3 linked regions of the Saccharomyces cerevisiae S288C genome follow. The protein of the gene in region 3 interacts with the protein of the main gene of each other region in a biochemical or structural test. Each region holds a gene or a part of one and is shown on either strand. Other genes may lie near its edges. The genes, in order: RMI1, HFM1 and TOP3.

The links.
Region 1: the proteins of TOP3 (region 3) and RMI1 form a complex in vitro, tested with the Saccharomyces cerevisiae proteins (3 studies listed by BioGRID, with this or other methods).
Region 2: the proteins of TOP3 (region 3) and HFM1 form a complex in vitro, tested with the Saccharomyces cerevisiae proteins (one study listed by BioGRID).

What each region holds. Positions count from the first base shown.
Region 1 is NC_001148.4:499,837-505,444, reverse strand, and holds RMI1 (Rmi1p), read right to left. Parts: upstream 1,929-5,608; coding exon 1,203-1,928; downstream 1-1,202. Other genes in the region: methylenetetrahydrofolate reductase (NAD(P)H) MET12, read left to right, coding at 1-1,106; putative serine/threonine protein kinase SKS1, read left to right, coding at 3,262-4,770; SMA1 (Sma1p), read right to left, coding at 5,043-5,608. UniProt on the Saccharomyces cerevisiae protein: Structure-specific DNA-binding protein with a preference for cruciform structures. Also binds single-stranded DNA (ssDNA). Functions together with SGS1 and TOP3 to maintain genome integrity. Essential for proper meiotic cell division.
Region 2 is NC_001139.9:26,385-34,637, forward strand, and holds HFM1 (DNA helicase), read right to left. Parts: upstream 5,253-8,253; coding exon 5,195-5,252; intron 5,043-5,194; coding exon 1,537-5,042; downstream 1-1,536. Other genes in the region: RTG2 (Rtg2p), read right to left, coding at 1-1,100; RMR1 (Rmr1p), read left to right, coding at 5,526-6,251; ZIP2 (Zip2p), read left to right, coding at 6,714-8,253. UniProt on the Saccharomyces cerevisiae protein: DNA-dependent ATPase and 3'-5' DNA helicase. Required in the control of double strand break transition and crossover during meiosis. ATPase is slightly better stimulated by single-stranded (ss) than double-stranded (ds)DNA.
Region 3 is NC_001144.5:607,311-613,834, forward strand, and holds TOP3 (DNA topoisomerase 3), read left to right. Parts: upstream 1-2,472; coding exon 2,473-4,443; downstream 4,444-6,524. Other genes in the region: EST1 (Est1p), read right to left, coding at 115-2,214; YLR236C (uncharacterized protein), read right to left, coding at 4,484-4,807; thiamine transporter THI7, read left to right, coding at 5,057-6,524. UniProt on the Saccharomyces cerevisiae protein: Releases the supercoiling and torsional tension of DNA introduced during the DNA replication and transcription by transiently cleaving and rejoining one strand of the DNA duplex.

The sequences.
Region 1 (5,608 bases), on a different chromosome or scaffold from region 3:
TGGAAAAGGCTATTGCTCAAATTGTCTCGCAATCTCCCGTCTTATCCCATATCGTAAATGAATCTAGCGAAGAAGAGGGAGAAGATGAAACCAGTGGCGAAATAGGAAGCATAGAAAATGTGCCAATAGAAGATGCTGACGGGGATATTGTGTTGGATGATTCGAATGAAGAAACTGTAGCAAACCGGAAAAGGAGAAGGCATTCAAGTCTTGATTCGGCCAAGTTGATTTTCAATAGGGCTATCGTCACTGAAAAAGGCTTACGCTATAATAATGAGAATGGTTCCATGCCATCTAAAAAGGCTTTAATATCTATTTCTAAAGGTCACGGAACTTTGGGTCGTGATGCCACTTGGGATGAGTTCCCCAATGGTAGATTTGGTGACTCCAGGTCTCCCGCATATGGTGAAATAGACGGTTATGGGCCATCCATCAAGGTAAGCAAAAGCAAAGCGCTTGAACTATGGGGTATACCAAAGACAATTGGCGATTTAAAAGATATTTTTATAAAATATTTGGAAGGTTCAACGGATGCGATTCCCTGGTCTGACCTGGGTTTATCAGCTGAAACGGCGTTAATACAAGAAGAACTAATCCAACTAAACTATCGCGGATATTTGACTTTGGCATCGCAACCTGCCACAAATGCTACATTGAGTAGTGATAAAATATTCGGCTGGGGGCCCGCGAAAGGGAGGTTGTATCAGAAGGCATTCGTAGAAATGTTTATTCATAGACAGCAATGGGAAACAACTTTGAAACCCAAGCTAGACCATTACGGGCGTCGGAAATTCAGTTATTACGCGGGCGATTCATCTGGTTCATTTGAAACGAACCTAGACCCGCACAGCTCTAGCGTTGTAACATGGGGTGTTTTTCCCAACAGTCCGGTCAAACAGACTACAATCATTGAAGAAGAGTCATTCAAGGCATGGAGAGATGAAGCGTTTAGTATCTGGTCCGAGTGGGCCAAGTTATTTCCAAGGAACACCCCAGCCAATATTCTTCTAAGACTAGTGCATAAAGACTACTGTCTTGTCTCAATTGTTCATCACGACTTCAAAGAAACCGACGAGCTATGGGAAATGTTACTCGACCAAGCCTAATATTTCACTGAATATAAATACAAAAATGCGAAAATAATGTAATATTTAACGTATACATAACGGGCAGAACGCCCTTCTAAGAAGAAGAGGCATATGCTAATCATTGGCTTTCCTTTTCTTGGAGCCGCCATTTACAAGTTGTTTGTCACGTTGTAATTTAGATTCCAAATAATCACAAAATTTCTGATCTCTATTTTCATTCCAAACTCTATTAATGCCGCCGAGAAAAATGACTTGTGAGTCCTTCAATATGAAAACGCCCCTATTGAACACAGTTCCCGGCAGTATCACAATTTTAGAACCCAGCATGCAAGAGCTCCAAGATATTGGAGTCGAGTTGATAGCAAAAAAAACGTCGCCCGACTTACTTTGTAGTGTCAATTTAAACACTGCTTTATTCTTGGCGGCACTGCTATTATTGTTGCTATTATTTTCCTTGGCGCAGTTGTTATCCGCCACATTCCCGTCATCTTCCATGTCCACTTGAGTGATGACCTCGTACTTCTTAGCGCCATTTCCTTGCGCGCCTGATCGTAGTCTATCCACTTTCTGTTTTTTCGGATCCAGCTTGGTTTTTATATCATCGATCTGTGTTAGCTTGGATTTGGTGATATTCTCTACCATCAACACCTGGAACAACAGTTCTCTGTCTACAATAACAAGTTTTTTATCTAAGATAAGATTCGAAGCAGTACCAGCCAACCAAGGTTCATTTTGGTAAGCTCTGAAAACAATCTGTTCTCTCGACCCCAAGGTGGCGGAATACGCTGGTGGTGTAATGTCATCTGTGATATCCTGTGATAAGATAGATGAAAAAGACATTCCATCCACTCGGTAGTATGTATGCTCTGCAGTATTTTGGCCTTCTTCTCAGTACTCCCTTTCTGTAAAGATTGTATGATTGGTTTATCTTTTTCCTTTTTCCTTTTCTTTTTTTTTTTTTTTTTTTTTTTCTTTTTTCTTAATAATTAGTTTCTCTTCACGCTACATGCTTTCTTGGCCCGTCCTGAGTGCAGTATCATAATTAATTTAGTAAATAAAGAAATAAACGAAGATGGACCCTCAGAGCAAACAGCCAAGACCGCTTGCATTGCAAAGTAATCTATTATTGTGCGCTGGGCCGCGGATGCCGCGGATAATAAATAGCCGGACCTGTCAAGAGGACGATAGCGGATGCGCTGGGAAGAGCTGTACTCTATGTACACATATGTATTGGTTGGAGCATATGTGCCTACATAATATGTCTAGTTGGCTCAAGCCCGTCAACTAATTAGTCTGAATGTATGGAGGCTTCTGCTGGCTCTAGCGATGTCGTCGTATTTACGTCACTGTAGTTCTCGACTCCCCGGAAAAACCTGTTCGCGTGAGCGGAACAACTTTCCATTGAGGCTTAGTGGAGGTATTTCCGGAGAGGGCATTCATCCCGGATTTCCTATTAGAATGGTGCAGTACGCCGCCCTCGCGCTCTCTACATGCTGTTTTAGCGCGCGTGATATGGACATAGATGCACCACGCGGTGTTTCTTTTCTAGGCATCAAGTGGCTTGCAGCCAATCAAACACGAGGAATGTGGGATGGAAGTACAATCTCCTCACCGCACACCCACGTTTTCCGGGACATTTCTCGGACAGACTCTTTTTTTCTTTTTTTTTTTTTTTTTGCTTCCCACGAAATCGGAACTTATCTATCAGCCGAAGAAAGCGCGTTGGACAGATACTTGAGCAGATTTTGTGGGGAGAGAGAATCTTGGGACAAATGCAAAAAAGAAATGGTCGGAACAAAAGGGCAGTATACAGGGCCGGCAGTACCTTCTGTTCCTACCACAAACCTTAACGATATCGGTGACCCTACTAAAACTGTGCAATAGATATTCCGGACCCACATCATTGCGGTGTTTTCTGAGTCCGCACTCACGGGACGAAGACGAAGAAAGACAAGAGCCTACAAATGACTATAGCGTTTTCTTTTTCCTTTTTATGCTCTTGCTACCTTTTTCGCATGAGAGGACATTCTTAAGGCGTATATTCTTATATATTATACAAAATATATTTAGTAAATTGTTAAATTTACTTATTGACTTAAATCGCCCTAGCGGAAACAAAACTCTTTAAAAGAAAACATCAAATAAGAACACAGACAAGAAATTTTGTGTACAAATGCTGTCAGACTGCTTGCTGAACAATTTCAGAATAACGGCTCAAATAGGGTCGGGTGCGTATGGACTAGTGTTCCATGTGGTGGATATACTGACGAGCCGTGAATATGCAGTGAAAACGGTCTTCAAATCCTCCTCGATGGATGAGTTTTATAATAAGAACGGTTTGAACAACAACTCTCAAGTGGCGCGAACCACTCTTCTGCAAACGCAACTGTATCATTTTTTCAAAAGTTTCCAAAAAAAATTGTTCTTACCTTCCGTTGATCTAGACTCGATATTACAGTTGACTGAGAATGAACTAAATAGGCTACCACACTACAGGGAGATTGCCTTCCAACTAAGAGTGCAGTCTCACGGCAATATCGTGAAGATTCACCAAGTTTTAGAATCTTCTATTGCCACTTTTATAGTGATGGATTATTACGACAGGGACCTTTTCACCTCGATAGTTGACGATAAGCATTTTGTAAATCATGGTATTTTGATTAAGAAAGTTTTTCTGCAGCTTTGCTCCGCATTAGATCACTGTCATCGTCTCGGTATATATCATTGTGATATCAAACCTGAAAATGTCCTACTGGATCGCAATGACAACGCTTATCTTTGCGATTTCGGGCTTTCCACTAAATCTAAATATCTAGCTCCAAATGTGTGCGTTGGCAGTTCATATTATATGGCTCCAGAAAGAATATTGTATTGTTTGAATACCACCACCAACGGCATACACGTCGACGAATGCTGTTCGAGCCTCCCTACGGATACAGGAGATATATGGTCTCTAGGCATCATCCTAATTAATTTAACTTGCATAAGAAACCCATGGTTAAAAGCTCACCAGAAGGAGGATAACACATTTCAACATTTTGCTAACGATAATAATGTCCTGAAGAAAATCCTTCCTATATCAGATGAGCTGTTCACAGTGTTGACGAAAATTCTACAACTAAATCCATACACAAGAATAGACATGAAAACTTTGATGTCCGAAGTTTCCTCTCTTACTTCTTTCACCAGGGAAGGGCCCTTGTCTCAAGTTCCAATCCTATCGAGCGAAGTTTACATGACGCATATTATAAGGAATGAAAACCTATTTTTGAGCGATTTATCACATTTTTCTGCAGACCAAGAACAACAACAACAACAGCAACAACAACAACAGCAAGTCCAAGAACAAGAACAGGAACAAAAACAAGAACAAATACAAAACCAGGAACAAGCACAACAGCAGCAAGAAGAGGAAGATGCTGAACCGGAGAGTGATATTCCATCAACGTATAATAGTGACGGAAGTATGGAAAAGTATGAATACACTAACAACCACAATAATAGTACCTTTTTAACTTCCTCAATGGACAGTACACCTTACCAATCTGATATCGATGACGTTAGTGCTTCCAAAGATTGCAAATTCCAACAAGATACATTAAGAAATAGGCTATTATGCTTACAAATGAATTTTTCTACTTTAACAGACGGTCCAAACGAGAAATGGTTACCAGATTATTGAGCAGGTCTCACCTTTATACTCACTGTATTATCTTATGTTCTAATTCGGTAATAGCTTCACCTTTTCTTTTTATCTTTGAGGTTTGTTTTTTTTCTAGTATCCTACTAGGATGGCTATAAGCAATGGCTGGAACGATTTTCATACTTTTTTTACGAACTTACGACTTTTCAGTGTCTTCTTTGATCAAAAGGAGATCACTATGGATATATATGTCCTACATAACTAATTACAATAATGATAGAATGACAGAACTTAGTCACTTTTTTTGTTTCTCAGCCCGGCGACGGCGCATTTGAATGGGTGGAAATCTTCGCTGATACCAGGTTGACAGTCTTATGATACGATTTTTTCGTCCTTTGCTTCCCCCGCAATAACCTTGCCTTTCCTCTATTTGCCGCGTTAGTAAAAGACCTTTCACAGCATCTGTAAAGTTCCTTTAATCGCATTGCAAAATACCAGGGCCTAAATGGAACTTCCTCAAACTGTCTTTCCAACCTTTCTAAGGGGTACATAAACTTTTGATATTGGATTTCCATCGATTCCCAAGGACTTCTCTTTATTGGACATTGCTTGCCTGTGACTTTTATAGGCGGCTTATAATATAGCACAAGGTCGGGCAAGTAACAAAATACAGCACTTCCTCCATTCTTATCAGGGTAGTAAGAGACTGAATCCCGAATCTCTTTTTCATTAATAACAATTTTGTTTTCTTCGATTTTCATGTTCTTGGTGGAAGAAAAAGTTTCCAACCAAGAATTGAGTTTATGTAATAATGATTCTGGGACAGGTGGCAATAAGGTAACACCCTCTCTTTTTTTCAATTCCATTTTATGATTTG
Region 2 (8,253 bases), on a different chromosome or scaffold from region 3:
TTTTCAGTAAGTAATGGAGCATAAGGACGGGACGCAATTAGCAATGGATCTTGTGCACGAATTTCTTTTGGAAGAAGAGAATAAAGTGAACCCTCTCGAACACCACCCTCACTAAAATGTACAGCTTTGATCTGGGGAATCGCTTCAAAAACAGCACTCATGAACAAACCAACGGCAGGAAGTTGTAAAGCCCTTCTATCAGAAACCTTAAATATTTTATGCTCTTTTGAAGAACCTGGTATTTTTTGTTTTAGGAATAGATAATCTGACATAGACGAGAATTCTTCATAAGTGCAAGCATATCCGTTAATTATTGTTTGGATGGGATAACCTTCCGACTGGTAAAGAAGCAGATGTCCCATACCTCTTAAACCACCCCCACGGGTCCAAAGGTCAAATCCACCTTCTTTCTTGGCGTCATCAATCATTTCTTGAGGTATACCAATTTTTTCAATCGCATCTTTGTACGCTTCTTTAATCTCATAAAAAAGTGCCCTATTATCATCTGTTCTCATTCTTCTCAAAAGAGTTCCAGCTCCATATGGCAAAGATACAGGTTTGCTGGATTGCTTGACTTCTCCGTGCGAGCTTATTACCCATGATAACTGAGTACTACCACCTGCCACATCTAGATATAGACCTCTTACTGTATTAAATGAGGAAACAACACCATATATGCCGACCCTAGTTTCATCTTCCTGGCCTAATATTTCTACTTTCCAGCCAGTGCTACCGTAAACAGCATTAACAAATTCATCCGCGTTAATAGCATCTCGCGTGGCTTCTGTTGCAATTACTCTGACACTAGTTTCAGGTACACCAAAATCATCGCAAATTAATTTGAATCTCTTCATGGCAGAACAAACCTCTTTTATAATATCTCTGGGAATAGGGCATTTTGCGTTCGTATGTGTATTATATTGAACTTCGTATAGAGAAAGACCAACCCTATCTTTAAAAACACAAGGCATAATTCTTGCATGATGTGCAGCCTTGGAAGATATACTAAAACGAATACCATTAGAACCTATGTCGACGATTCCACACAAGTTTCTCGACACGACCTCAGTCTCGGTATCACTATCGCTAAGTGTTGACATTTGTGGCACGCCTACACTTTTCGTTCAAAACAATCCTTAGTAAAGGACACTTCCAAGAGTGAGTTTCTTTTTTAAAAGGTACATATGAATGAATTACTAATCTCACTTCGATTCTTTCAATTGATCTAGGAACTCCGCCGGCAAAGTTATCCTATCTCGGCATTCTGACCCGGATCGCTTATCGCGGTCATGTGACTAATAATTGAAATGATAAATAGCACGATATGTAACAATAGTAATATATCAATTGACAATGTCATCTTGTTCCCTAATAAATAGTAAAGGTTCCAATTGTTTCACCACTGGCTGCATTTTAAAAACAAAGCATTATAAGTAAACTCTCACACATGCTAACTTCTGTTGGGAAGCAATACAAATAACAGAAAGGATTGGGGTAATGAATATCAGTAATGTCTATTGTTCCCGGCCATGCCGCTCATTCAAACTCTATATCGGAACCCAAGAAATCCAGATCACCATTCGGATCACTTATTGAGCTCGCCGCTGTATTACTAGAATAACTATCGGATGATTCAAGATCAATAGGAATTATTTCAGGGCAGTTTTCGGGGCCTGATTTTAGGACTTGTTCACCCGCTTCCATAGACGACATCTGTTGCGATAGATTATAAATTTTTGAAGGAAGTGTATGAACTGTCGCAATATCTGTATTTTCTTCTTGCCACTGCTTTGGTTTACTATTCAGTCTTTTTTCCAGGTGAGGGGTTGTGTTGATATTTTTTGCAAGCAGTGGCTGGCGTATTTGATCAGGTTTTGATACTGGCTTGATTGAGGAGGGTCCTTTTTCTTTTATATACTTTACTGGAATACCCTCTTTACAACATAAATGTCTGCATTGCGTTTTGTCTTTGCAGCTATGAAAACACTCGTAATTGCCATTAGATCTTACTTGGCGGCCATTACTAAAATGTGAAGAAGAGTGTGCCTCCGGGTGAATAACTGCTGCAGATTCAACCGCCTTTGATGATTTCTTCCTTTCATTCAAATAATCTAGTATACTATCATCTGAGGATAGCGATTCTTCTAATCCATCTTTATGGGAAACCCTAGACGTTTTCCCCACTTCTCCGTCACTACTGCTTTCATAGAAGAGGCATTTTTCTAAACTATTTAGATCTTTCCTTATATTTGGTGTCTTCGCAGAGAACTGTGATGCCAAATGATCAGTGGAATATACGATTGTTTTGCCGAGTCCGGCGATTTCTTGGCAATGAATTGAGAATTCTATTTTTTCTAGTTTTGGTGATATTTTTGCTGAAATTCTAAAGCCCCTTGGTGACTGTAGTTTGTTAACTTGCAATCTTCTAAAGTCGATTAACTCTCCTGAGCTTTTCTCGGTTTCGATATCTAATGAGAGGTGCTGACCATGCCAAATGCTAGACTTGAATGTTGCACTAATCTCAACTTTAAATGTCAACCACAACTCTTCATTTTCTATTTTGCAATTTTCTAGTTTTGTTCTAATATTCAGACAAGGCAACAAAGAAATGTCGTTTTTAATTTTTATGCCGTTTCCAATCTTGAGGTTAAGATAGTATTCAATCTGAGTATCTGACAAATGCCCCATTTCTTCTAGATTGGTAATTCCATGTCGTATTAGCCTTCTTACTGAAACTAGTCCAATTGTTTTCAATTGCCTAAGAACCATTGGCGTGTTTTCCCAGCAGTGACCATTCAGGCTTCGCAGTAAGAACAAAGTATTTTTCAGTGATGTTCCATCACTTTTTTCAATAAATGTGTCTACCATGCATTTTAGTAATCTAAAACAATGTCTAAAAACGAGGAATTTATCCTGAACAAGAGTTTGATGTAGTTTAGAAGCGCCTTCGTATGATGGAAATTCTAACCCACCTAACTCATATTGAATCAAAAGAGAAACCTTTTGACTAACCCTGTCAATTATTTGGCTCTGTTTCTTCTCGGTTAAAAATGGATATTTCAAAAGTGGCGATAAATTGATTTCTTTGAACAATTTTTTTTCATTGTGCCTCACCCTCATAACTGAAAACTCTTCAGAAGTGGCCAGTAAATTTAGTATCCCTTGTAATGATAGAAATTTTTTTGCGTTAATGAATTGTTTCATCGACTCAAAGGATATATAATGTCGCGTCATTGCATTTCCGTACGCTGTAGATTTGTACTCCCCATTGCTGATATCGATTATTTTCACTTTTACTAAGGTGTCAAGCAAATACTGACAGAATTGATTTATCTGAGAGTCTTCAACGGAATGAAAACTAACGTATCTGTTCACCTCTTGATATGCAGCTGGATTCTTCCCAAATCTAACGTAAAAGAATGTGTTTCGTAGCCAATTTACTGCAGTTTCAATTGAATATACAGTTTCCAAAGAGGTTTCTGCTGCTAAATGCTCGATCAAATTCAAATGTAATGAACTTTCCAAAACGTCAGTTCCATGAATTAAGTTTTCATATGTTTGCTTCATTTTAGAGTCTGTCATGATTACTGCGCACCCGTGAGTTTCAAATTGAGGTCTTCCTGCCCGCCCAATCATTTGCAGTACATCTAGGTCTGAATACTCTTGGATTTCAGAAGAGTTCCAACTTTTGGTGCCTTTGATAATGACCAAATATGCGGGAAGGTTCACACCAACAGCTAACGTTGAAGTTGAACACAATATATTAATTGAACCTGCAAGAAATTCTTTCTCAACGGCAGTACGGTCTTCTAAAGAAATTCCAGCATGATGGAAAGCGATACCTTGTTGCATACATTCATTTAATATTTTATCGGAGGGATTATGATTACATCTTTTCTTACTTTTTGAAAAAATATGATTATTTAATAAAAATTTTGCTGTTGATATAGTTGAAGCCCTAGTCGGACAAAATATTAGTACGGGACGATTATCGGCATGCTTTTCAATTATTTCAATCAATTTGGAATTATATATAGCATCTTTTTGGAAGTCATTTTTGCAATTGAAGGAGTACCCATAAACAAACTTCGTTAACTGAACTTGCCTGTACGATTCGTCAAAAGAAAGAATATTTGCAGGAAGCTCGTTGTTAGTTTTGAGCCACAATGCTAGGTCTTCTATATTTGGAACTGTTGCACTTAAAGCAACAAACCGAATGTTTTGACACATTGTATTCATCCTTGTCAGAATTACTTCCAAAGATGCTCCTCTTTTCTCCTTTATGGTATGAATCTCATCAACTAGGACAAGTTTGACCAATTCGAATAATCGGCTGTAATCGGACCATCTTCTTGTTAACAAATCCCATTTTTCTGGTGTCGTAATTATTATGTTACATTTTTTAGCCTTTTCAGTTTCCAGAAAAGAGGTATCACTAGTAAGCATACCAACAGAAAGATTCACAAAGGAAGGAAACCAGTTCTTGTACATCTCGTAACATAGAGATTTGGTTGGCGCGATGTATATAATTTTGGTGTTATTGGTATCACTATTTGTTTCCTTTATAAGACGTAATATTGCCAATTCAAATAATACAGTCTTGCCTGATCCGGTTGGTGAAGAAATTATGCAGTTCTCGTTACTCTCATAAATACTAGGAAAAGCCTCTGATTGCATTTTATTAAATTCTGTAAATTTAAAAACCCCTCTGAATGAATCTGGTAATATGGTCGTGCTCAAACATTTCTTCGCTGATTTCCTTATCGTGACCTTCTTAGGTTTCTTCGCCTCTTCATCAGGTGTCTGCTCTAAATCGTGATCAAATAATTTACTAGTTACTTGTGTATCATCTGCTGTTATTGAAAAATTATCGTCTTTGTCGAAGAATTGCAGACCACGGCCCTCAAATATTTCCTCTGTTTCATTTTCATCATCACAATCATCCAGTAAACTGTTATAAGACAAACCTACTTTAAAACTTGGTTGGCGGCTATTTTTCTTATTTCTTTTAAATGTAGCAGACTGGTCGTTAAAGTCAATATCTATAAGTCCTCTGAAATTCTAGTCCAGAAAAACCACTTTTGGTTGCATTTCCGCTAGATAATAAAAGAAAGAGGTAACAATGTTAGTCAAAATACTGTTGTTGTCCGATATGGTGTAAACTGATAAGGGTGTTGCTAAGCTTCGTTACTACTATTTGGAGAGGGTCTACTTCTTTTTCCTGTACCGAGGCGATCAAACTTTGTTTTCATCCTTACGACGCCTCTTAAGTTGTCAAATCCACCTTGAGGTATCAATCATTTTCAATGAAAGGATTTCTTGATAGATGATACTAATAGTCCCGTTTTGTTTATAATCCGGGGCAAAGTCTAAATACCCGCCGAGCCTGCATCCATTCGTGGTACATGATATGTTAAAACTACAACAAGGCATAAAAAAGGGAAGTATATATGATTAATTATATATACGTAAAGGAAAAGATACGTAGTTAAAGATTGTTTTTGTTGGTATCAATGGAATCAAAGATGAGTGAAGAAGAAGCGCATAAAACAGTGGAGGTGGATGACGTCGGGGTTCAATTGGATGAGGGCGATGAAGAAGACCTTTTGGAGTATGATGATGAACTCGTGGAGGAACAACCATCGGACGCCCGTATACGCAACGTGGCAGAGACTTTAATGAAAAGCGAATTGCCCAAAGTCACCGTGGAATATAAAGATACTACATTTCTGTTGTTCACGTCGGATGATAAGAACGAAAGTAACAACCCCATAATATGTGAAAACGCTGCTCTTTATCAGCGACCCATGGGGGAATTCATGGAATCCATTCGTAAATTTATGGGAAATCGTTTTGGCAGGTTGGCTTTTGCTACGAAGGAGTTGGTTTTACAACTGAAAAGCCTCGATTTGACCTTGTTCGAAGATAATGTCTACAACAACCATATTTCATTCAGCGATGTTTATACTATATTTAAAATCCTGAAGGAAAGATCGGAGTCTAATTTTGAAACTGATATACCGACGCACTTGGCTATTGAATTAAGTACAAGGCCAAGATTTGTCTCTCGGTACAACGCCTTGGTTGAATTAACTGAAAGCTCAGCTACGTTGAAAAACATAAAGCCATTTTCTAACGATGAAACGCATCCCTTAATTGTGGATGACAATGACCAATATACACACCAGAATACTTCAGAAGTCATTGTAATGGACATAGATGATGACGTAGGTGAGGATTCTGAAGACTAAAGTAGCCATGTTTAATCAGCACTGATCGTGGGAAATCCTGATGTCCAACGGTGAGTTTCTGATTTCCCAGTCACGGATTCCTTTTGAGAATCTTCTCCCGCGAATAAATTATTGGCTCTGTGTAATATTTAAGGTCGCCTTCTTTTTCGTTTGTATAGTCAGCAGTTAAGTATTCATTAATTTTGGATGATGCAAAGGTCCATATTCGATTTCTGATAGCCCTTCCCCCTTTTTTGTAGCGAATTGTATTATTGTTTTGTATTGTTTTTTCGTCATTTTCTTCAATTTTTTTCAAGTTTTACTTTCGGAAGAATTGCTGAAAGTATTTTCTGTTAGGATATGTAAAATACAAGCATAAAATATGTTTCAGGAGAAGAAAATCACTCAATAGTGCCACACCATTGTTAACGAGCTCGAGTAATTGAATCAATTTAGAGAAATAGATCATATTACAAAAATACTATGATTATTGAACGTTGGGAAGTAAAGTTATCTAAATGTAACCAAAATGTGGGCGGCTATTCTGTTCTGTCAGGAAACTTAAAAGAAAACATCAAACTGGGAAGACGAGCACAAAAATATTTGAAAGAGCTAAGAAATTTGCAACTTAAACCACTGAAAATCGGAGGGTATGAAAACTGCGGCACGATCAATGGTGAAGAGTATTTTTTGGAGGTAATTCACATCACCTCTGGAAGACAAAAAATAGATGTAGCCGTTGGCAAAACATGGAATGTGACTAACATTGAGAATGACAACAAAGAAGAACTACAGTATGAGTTATTCAAGGAAAAGTTAAAAGTCGGGAAACAGGACATGTTATTTTTTAGCTGGATGAAAAGTCTTTCAGTTCAATTAAATGCTCCTCTTCACCAAAAAATGACGGAACACGGTTTGGCAGACGATAACACGAGGTTAGAGTGGTTCAACATCCCACTTCTCAGAAGAAGTCAATACAGGAAAAAGGTACCATATCCGAGTTTAAGACAAATGTCCTCTGTACTGGAAGTGCAATGCAGCACACTAACGGAGGAAAAGTTGAACTTCTGCGTTGGATTTTCTGATAAACCTTTGTCAGAATGGAAGCCCCAAATTTTTGAGCAAACCTACAATAGATACCGTTTACAACGGATCTCACCTGAGAAATCTTTCAAATATAAGAGTAGGTGCAGTAAGTACAATTTCAAGACCAGTTCGCAAAGCTGGGTTGTGAAAGTCCCAGAACATGATCAACAGCTTAATACGTTTGAAAAACGTTATGATGAACTCTTTGATGCTCAATTTAATAAACTAGAATTTTTTAAAATAAGAATGAAAAAATTGAAAAAGAATAAGCCAATTGAGAAAAAGAACTATAAAATATGGTGTCTAGAAAAAGAAGACCTAAAGGATTTGGTATGGGATCCTCTGAAAAGAATTTGCAATCATTCTAGGTATGCAATATTTGAGCATGTTACCATAAATAGGGAGGCCTATTCGATCAAACCATTAAGGTTAACTTTTCAAAAATTAGATTCCGGCTCCCTTGACCTGATCGATAATCAAAAAAAGACGTTTGGTAGTATAAAGCTTGCAATGAGTATGCCAGATGTAAAAAAAACTGAAAATCAGTCAATTGAAGAAAGTGAAAGACACGATGAAACTGCTATTGAAACCCAAGAATTTGATGAAAATGATTGTCTTTCATCTAAGGCGGATATTAATACATCATTAGCTCCTCAAAAGAGATCTTTCATCGATAATGAACTAATGTCCATGTTAGTCACCAAAAAAAAAATAAAGAAGGACAAGGATGTTAGTGACACCGGTATATCTTCCACTTCATACTTGATAAATTCTGGGACATATGCAAATTCTCATATTGAAATTCCTACCTCTAATTCAGTTTACAATGGAAAGGAAGATTGCTCATTTAATAACTACTCAGTAAAGCATTCAATATTGGAAGAAGATATTGAGAATAAATGCATAGCCGTAAATGAAAACAAGGTGATTGAGAACC
Region 3 (6,524 bases):
AAAAACCGCCCCCATATTTTCGTGGGTTGACGACGACAGGCGTGGACGACGTTAATTGACGTCGTCATAATATATTTCATATTATGATTTTTTCCCTCACCATTACTTGTTCTCTCAAGTAGGAGTATCTGGCACTTGGACGGTGATGTCCTCATCAGCATCAATTGCTTCGTCTGGATATGAGAGAAAATCAGAGGATAGTGGGCCAGTGATAGTTTTTCTCCCTCGTGAAGCAGCATGTTTTACCAACTCAGAAGAAACGCCATCTTTTTCTGGGAGCGGAGACAATTTTTTTGTTCTCCGGACATTTGCAAATTGTTTTTCCAGTTCTGTCACAGCTATTTTCCCGGCTCTTTTGCGCTGTTGTTCATCTCTTTTGGCCTCAACTTTTCTCGAAGAGACTACTCTTTCCTGTTGTGTTTTTACATTTATTTTGGAGGAAATTTCCGATAATGCTATTTGGCGTTTTATTTTAATATTTGGGCTTATTAAATCAAACTTATATTTGCTGGCATTCCATATGACGCCGGTGTCATTTTTCTCTAAAAATTTCATGCCAGAAAATATTATTGATCTAATTCGCAGAACACATTCTTCTTTTGGAGAAAGCACTTTAGTCAATGTAGGGCATCCAATTATATTATTAATCATGTCGGGAGAATCATACACATAATCGTCATTAAAATCTGTTAGTGCAAAGTTAATGCAAGAAAATTCCCTGAAAATAATATCTTCTCTAAAAAGATAGCTTCTTTTCGGCCTGTGGCTATATATATTTCCTGAACAATTCAGTGGACTATTTATCAAGTCGTTCAGCAACAAGGCGAATGAAGTGCAAAACTTCCTGTGTCTGTGAGTGTACTGCAAAATAGATCTATATGACTTAATCCAGCACATAAGCAAACGAATAATGGCTAGATATCGAAAGTCTTCCATGTTTTTTTGCCAGGAGGGTTTGATGACGACGTCTATGATATTAGCAATAAAATCAAAGCTCAAGTCTAAAAAAAAAACCTGGCGCTCACTCAAATCTGCATATTTGAGTTTGTTCTTTTGTTCCTTACTTTTTCGAGTTGTAAACATAAGATCGAAACTTCCCATTGTGGCAGCCAAGTTTTCAAGTATAACATTAATATTACCTGAATGATACTTTAATGCAGCCATTTGTAAATGCTCTTTCAATAACCAACAATTAGAAGCACGTGATGCGTTCCATGACTGTGGAACCAAAGTGTGTTCTACTATCGATAGAAATTGCAAAACAATTTGACCTTCAAAGAATGATTTCTCACCTTTGAGATCTTTTGACACAAGAATTGCCAATTTTTTCATCAGACGTCTTCTTTCCGGAAAATCAGGAGTCAAAATGAAATCTTTCAAATTGTTTAACGCACATTTAGACGGAATCCTTACCAATGCTCCTCTTACTAATTCAAAGAAATACAGTGAGAATTTCCCAGTGATCAAGTAAATTTTCGCTCGTTGAAAATAAGTATCTCCAACGGCTGGGAGATAGAGTGAGGCAATATTCAAGTACCTAATAGACTTCTCAAAACCTTCCACACTCTTGGGTTTGTTAGACGGCTTGTTTAGTAGTGTTTTATAAAAATGTGTGGAACCTAGATTAATCACGCATCTTTGTAGTGAGATTACAATGGAAAACGTCAGTGGATTACTCGTGTTTAAGATAATTTTCTCATGAGTTGAAAGTCCATCTGTGTATTGCATTAAATTCAACTTCGCGAAGAGAGCATTTGAAATAACGGAATTCATATCGTACTTTGCGCATAGGTGTTCGATGATGTCATAGTAATACCTGTGTGTAATTTTGAAAAATTGAATCATTTTTTTTTGAAAAATTCTAAAAACTCTGAACTTTCTTCTGTTACTTAGTCGCATGATATCATGGAACCAGTGCTCAAACCATTGGAGTGTAGGTTCGTGAATTTGAAGCCATAAAAGTTTCAGAACCAATGGTATCACGGAATCATTTATGCGTTCGTAATTGTTATTATGGTACATATTTTCTTGTTTCAAAAGTAGCTCTTCGAGAAACCTAGTAGATTTGCGATGTATTCCATCCAGGAAGCATCTGAACGTGATATATGCATTTTCATCGCATGTCAACCTTGATGTTAGATGTTTATCCAGATGCGCACGAGCGTTCTTGAAAAATAATCTCATACATTCTTCGTTAACTTCTTCATTATCCATTATCTATGGTGGCATGTGTCATTTAATGGAATATACTTTTTCCCCTGATAAGTTTGCTAAAAACGGTCGGATCATACAGGCATGTTAACATTTCCATTATCCTTTTTGACATTGGATAATGGCGTGAACGCGAAAATCACATTGATAAAAAAAAGCAGTTTGGCGAATTAGTAACTGTCAATAAAGAGGGCATCGCTTTTGAAAGCACCTTCGTCTGTGCGCTCGCTTCAGCTACGTAAAGGTGTATTATAGACAATAATGAAAGTGCTATGTGTCGCAGAGAAAAATTCTATAGCGAAGGCAGTTTCACAGATCCTAGGAGGAGGCAGATCAACTTCAAGGGATTCCGGCTACATGTATGTAAAGAACTATGATTTCATGTTTAGTGGGTTCCCGTTTGCCAGAAATGGGGCTAACTGCGAAGTTACCATGACTAGTGTTGCAGGGCACCTAACAGGCATTGATTTCAGCCATGATTCGCATGGGTGGGGAAAATGCGCCATCCAAGAGTTATTTGATGCGCCACTGAACGAGATTATGAATAACAACCAAAAAAAGATAGCAAGCAACATCAAGCGAGAAGCGAGGAATGCAGACTATCTGATGATATGGACAGATTGCGACCGGGAAGGAGAGTACATCGGTTGGGAGATATGGCAGGAGGCCAAGAGAGGCAACAGGCTCATACAAAATGATCAAGTATACCGGGCAGTCTTTTCGCATCTCGAAAGACAACACATATTAAATGCAGCACGAAACCCAAGTCGATTGGATATGAAGAGTGTGCACGCTGTAGGCACGCGGATTGAAATCGATCTTCGAGCAGGTGTTACATTCACCAGACTCTTAACAGAAACGCTACGAAATAAACTGAGAAACCAAGCCACCATGACCAAGGATGGTGCAAAACACCGCGGTGGTAACAAGAACGACTCACAAGTCGTATCGTATGGTACATGCCAGTTTCCAACGCTCGGCTTTGTAGTAGACAGGTTTGAAAGAATACGAAATTTTGTTCCCGAAGAGTTCTGGTATATCCAATTGGTAGTCGAAAACAAAGACAACGGCGGAACAACAACGTTCCAGTGGGACAGGGGCCACTTGTTCGACCGGCTGAGCGTGTTAACGTTTTACGAGACATGCATCGAAACCGCCGGCAATGTTGCTCAAGTAGTAGACTTGAAATCAAAGCCAACAACGAAATACAGACCTTTACCTCTGACCACAGTGGAGCTACAAAAAAACTGCGCCCGGTACCTGCGTCTGAACGCCAAACAATCACTAGACGCAGCAGAAAAGCTATACCAAAAGGGGTTCATATCGTATCCAAGAACAGAGACTGATACTTTCCCACACGCAATGGACCTAAAATCCTTGGTCGAAAAGCAAGCTCAATTGGACCAACTCGCTGCAGGCGGCAGAACCGCCTGGGCATCGTACGCGGCATCGCTGCTCCAACCCGAAAACACAAGTAACAATAACAAGTTCAAGTTTCCACGAAGCGGCTCCCATGACGACAAAGCGCATCCACCAATCCACCCCATCGTAAGTCTGGGGCCTGAAGCAAATGTTTCGCCAGTGGAAAGAAGAGTATACGAGTACGTGGCCAGGCACTTTTTGGCATGCTGCTCAGAGGACGCCAAGGGCCAATCGATGACCCTTGTGTTGGACTGGGCCGTTGAACGTTTCTCAGCTTCAGGTCTCGTAGTCCTAGAGAGAAATTTCCTCGATGTTTACCCTTGGGCCCGATGGGAAACCACCAAGCAGTTACCGCGGCTTGAAATGAATGCCCTCGTAGACATCGCGAAGGCCGAAATGAAGGCGGGCACTACGGCGCCGCCCAAGCCGATGACTGAGAGTGAACTCATTCTCCTCATGGATACAAACGGCATTGGCACAGACGCCACCATTGCGGAGCACATAGACAAGATCCAAGTACGTAATTACGTTAGGAGCGAGAAAGTAGGCAAGGAAACCTACTTACAACCCACGACCCTGGGTGTCTCACTAGTGCACGGCTTCGAGGCCATCGGCCTCGAAGACTCCTTTGCAAAGCCCTTCCAGCGCAGAGAAATGGAGCAAGACCTCAAGAAAATCTGCGAAGGTCATGCCTCCAAGACTGATGTTGTAAAGGACATAGTCGAGAAGTATAGGAAGTACTGGCACAAGACGAATGCCTGCAAGAATACTCTCTTGCAAGTTTATGACCGTGTCAAGGCATCCATGTAAGGCGTTTTTGCCGCCCTTTGTCTTCAAAAAAGCTCTCCGCTTAATTGCATGATTCAGCTGACTGCATATGTGCATTTTCAGTACCAGCCGCAACTGCATCAAACCATGCAGAAGTCGCCGCCACAGAAGCTCCAGCGCGCCGCGTAAACGCATGTTGGAAGGCGCCCCAATTAGCATATTCACGCGCGACTACCAAACGCATAGGGAAGGTTTCAGAGAGCCGATGAGCAGCGGATGCACAGAGTACGGCCATAAGGCTGCAAAGCGCTTGGCAGGAATGGGCGTTTTCTAGAGGTTGCCTTATTGATTTATATGGAAGAGGAGAGGATTCATCGATCGGGCTTCTAAGGCAAATAGTATGCATACCTTTTTCGGGTAGTTGAAGAGAAAAGAGGAAGAGAATAGAAAAAAAAAAAAAGCGAAATTTTTACATCCTCTATTGTAATGTAATTTCTTTTTTTTTATTAGGTATATATGTGAGATACAATTCTCGAAGTCATCGGGAAGCTTTACCATTTCATTTCCTATTCCAGAACTCATATTAGCATCTATTGTTCTGAGATTCATCGCAACATCATTTAAAGGACTGTAGAGCCAATTGCATTATATCAATATGAGTTTCGGTAGTAAAGTCTCCAGGGCTTTGAGATTTTTGGAAATTCCTGTCAAAGACAGGGCATCTGTGAGTTTCTTGAAGAACCCGGATTTGCAACCTATTAAGTCGGCTAACCAAACATGGGGGTTCTGGTCTAATTTTGCATATTGGGGTGTTATGTCCTTTTCAGTGGGTACATGGATGAGTGCCTCTTCTGCACTAGGTGTTGGATTAAGTTACCCAGAAACCATTGGTACATTTATCGTCGGTGATGTGTTGACCATTATTTTCACATTGGCAAACTCGTGTCCTGGTTACGACTGGAAGGTCGGTTTCACTTTGGCCCAAAGATTCGTCTTTGGTATTTACGGTTCTGCCTTCGGTATCATCATCAGAATTTTGATGAGTATTGTCAACTACGGGTCCAACGCTTGGGTGGGAGGTCTTTGTATCAATATGATCTTGGATTCATGGTCTCACCATTATTTGCACCTGCCAAACACCTTATCTTCGAAAGTTGCCATGACCACTAAAGAATTAATTGGTTTTATCATCTTCCACGTCCTTACTGCATTCTGTTACTTAATGAAACCCTACCACATGAACTACATTTTAATTTGGTCGTGTGTTGCTACATTTTTCTCTATGTTGGGTATGGTGATCTATTTAGCTAAACAGGCTCACGGTGTTGGAGAATTGTTTACCTCCACTAAATCCACTGCCACTGGCTCCACCAAAGCTTGGGCTTGGGTTTATATGATCTCGTACTGGTTCGGTTCCGTTTCTCCAGGTTCCACCAACCAAAGTGATTACTCGAGATTTGGTTCCTCCAATTGGGCTATCTGGGCCGGTACCATCTGTGCATTGTTAATTCCAACCACTTTAATCCCAGTTTTTGGTGTTATTGGTGCCTCCACCTGTGACAAACTATACGGTGAACAATATTGGATGCCTATGGATATCTTCAACCATTGGTTGACAACTAACTATTCTGCAGGTGCTCGTGCCGGTGCGTTCTTCTGTGGTCTTTCATTTGTCCTATCTCAAATGTCCTACACCATCTCCAACTGTGGGTTTGCCAGTGGTATGGATTTGGCCGGTTTATTACCCAAGTATGTCGACATCAAGAGGGGTGCCCTTTTTGCCGCATGTGTCTCCTGGGCTTGTTTGCCATGGAACTTCTACAACTCTTCTTCTACTTTCTTGACTGTCATGAGTTCTTTCGGTGTTGTCATGACTCCTATCATTTCTGTCATGATTTGCGATAACTTCTTGATCAGAAAAAGACAATACTCCATCACTAATGCCTTTATTCTCAAGGGTGAATACTATTTCACTAAGGGTGTTAACTGGAGAGCTATTGTTGCCTGGGTTTGTGGTATGACCCCCGGTCTACCTGGTATTGCTTGGGAAGTCAATAATGACTATTTCCACAACACTGGTATTGTCAATTTCTTTTACGGTGACTCCTTCTTCTCGTTTTTGA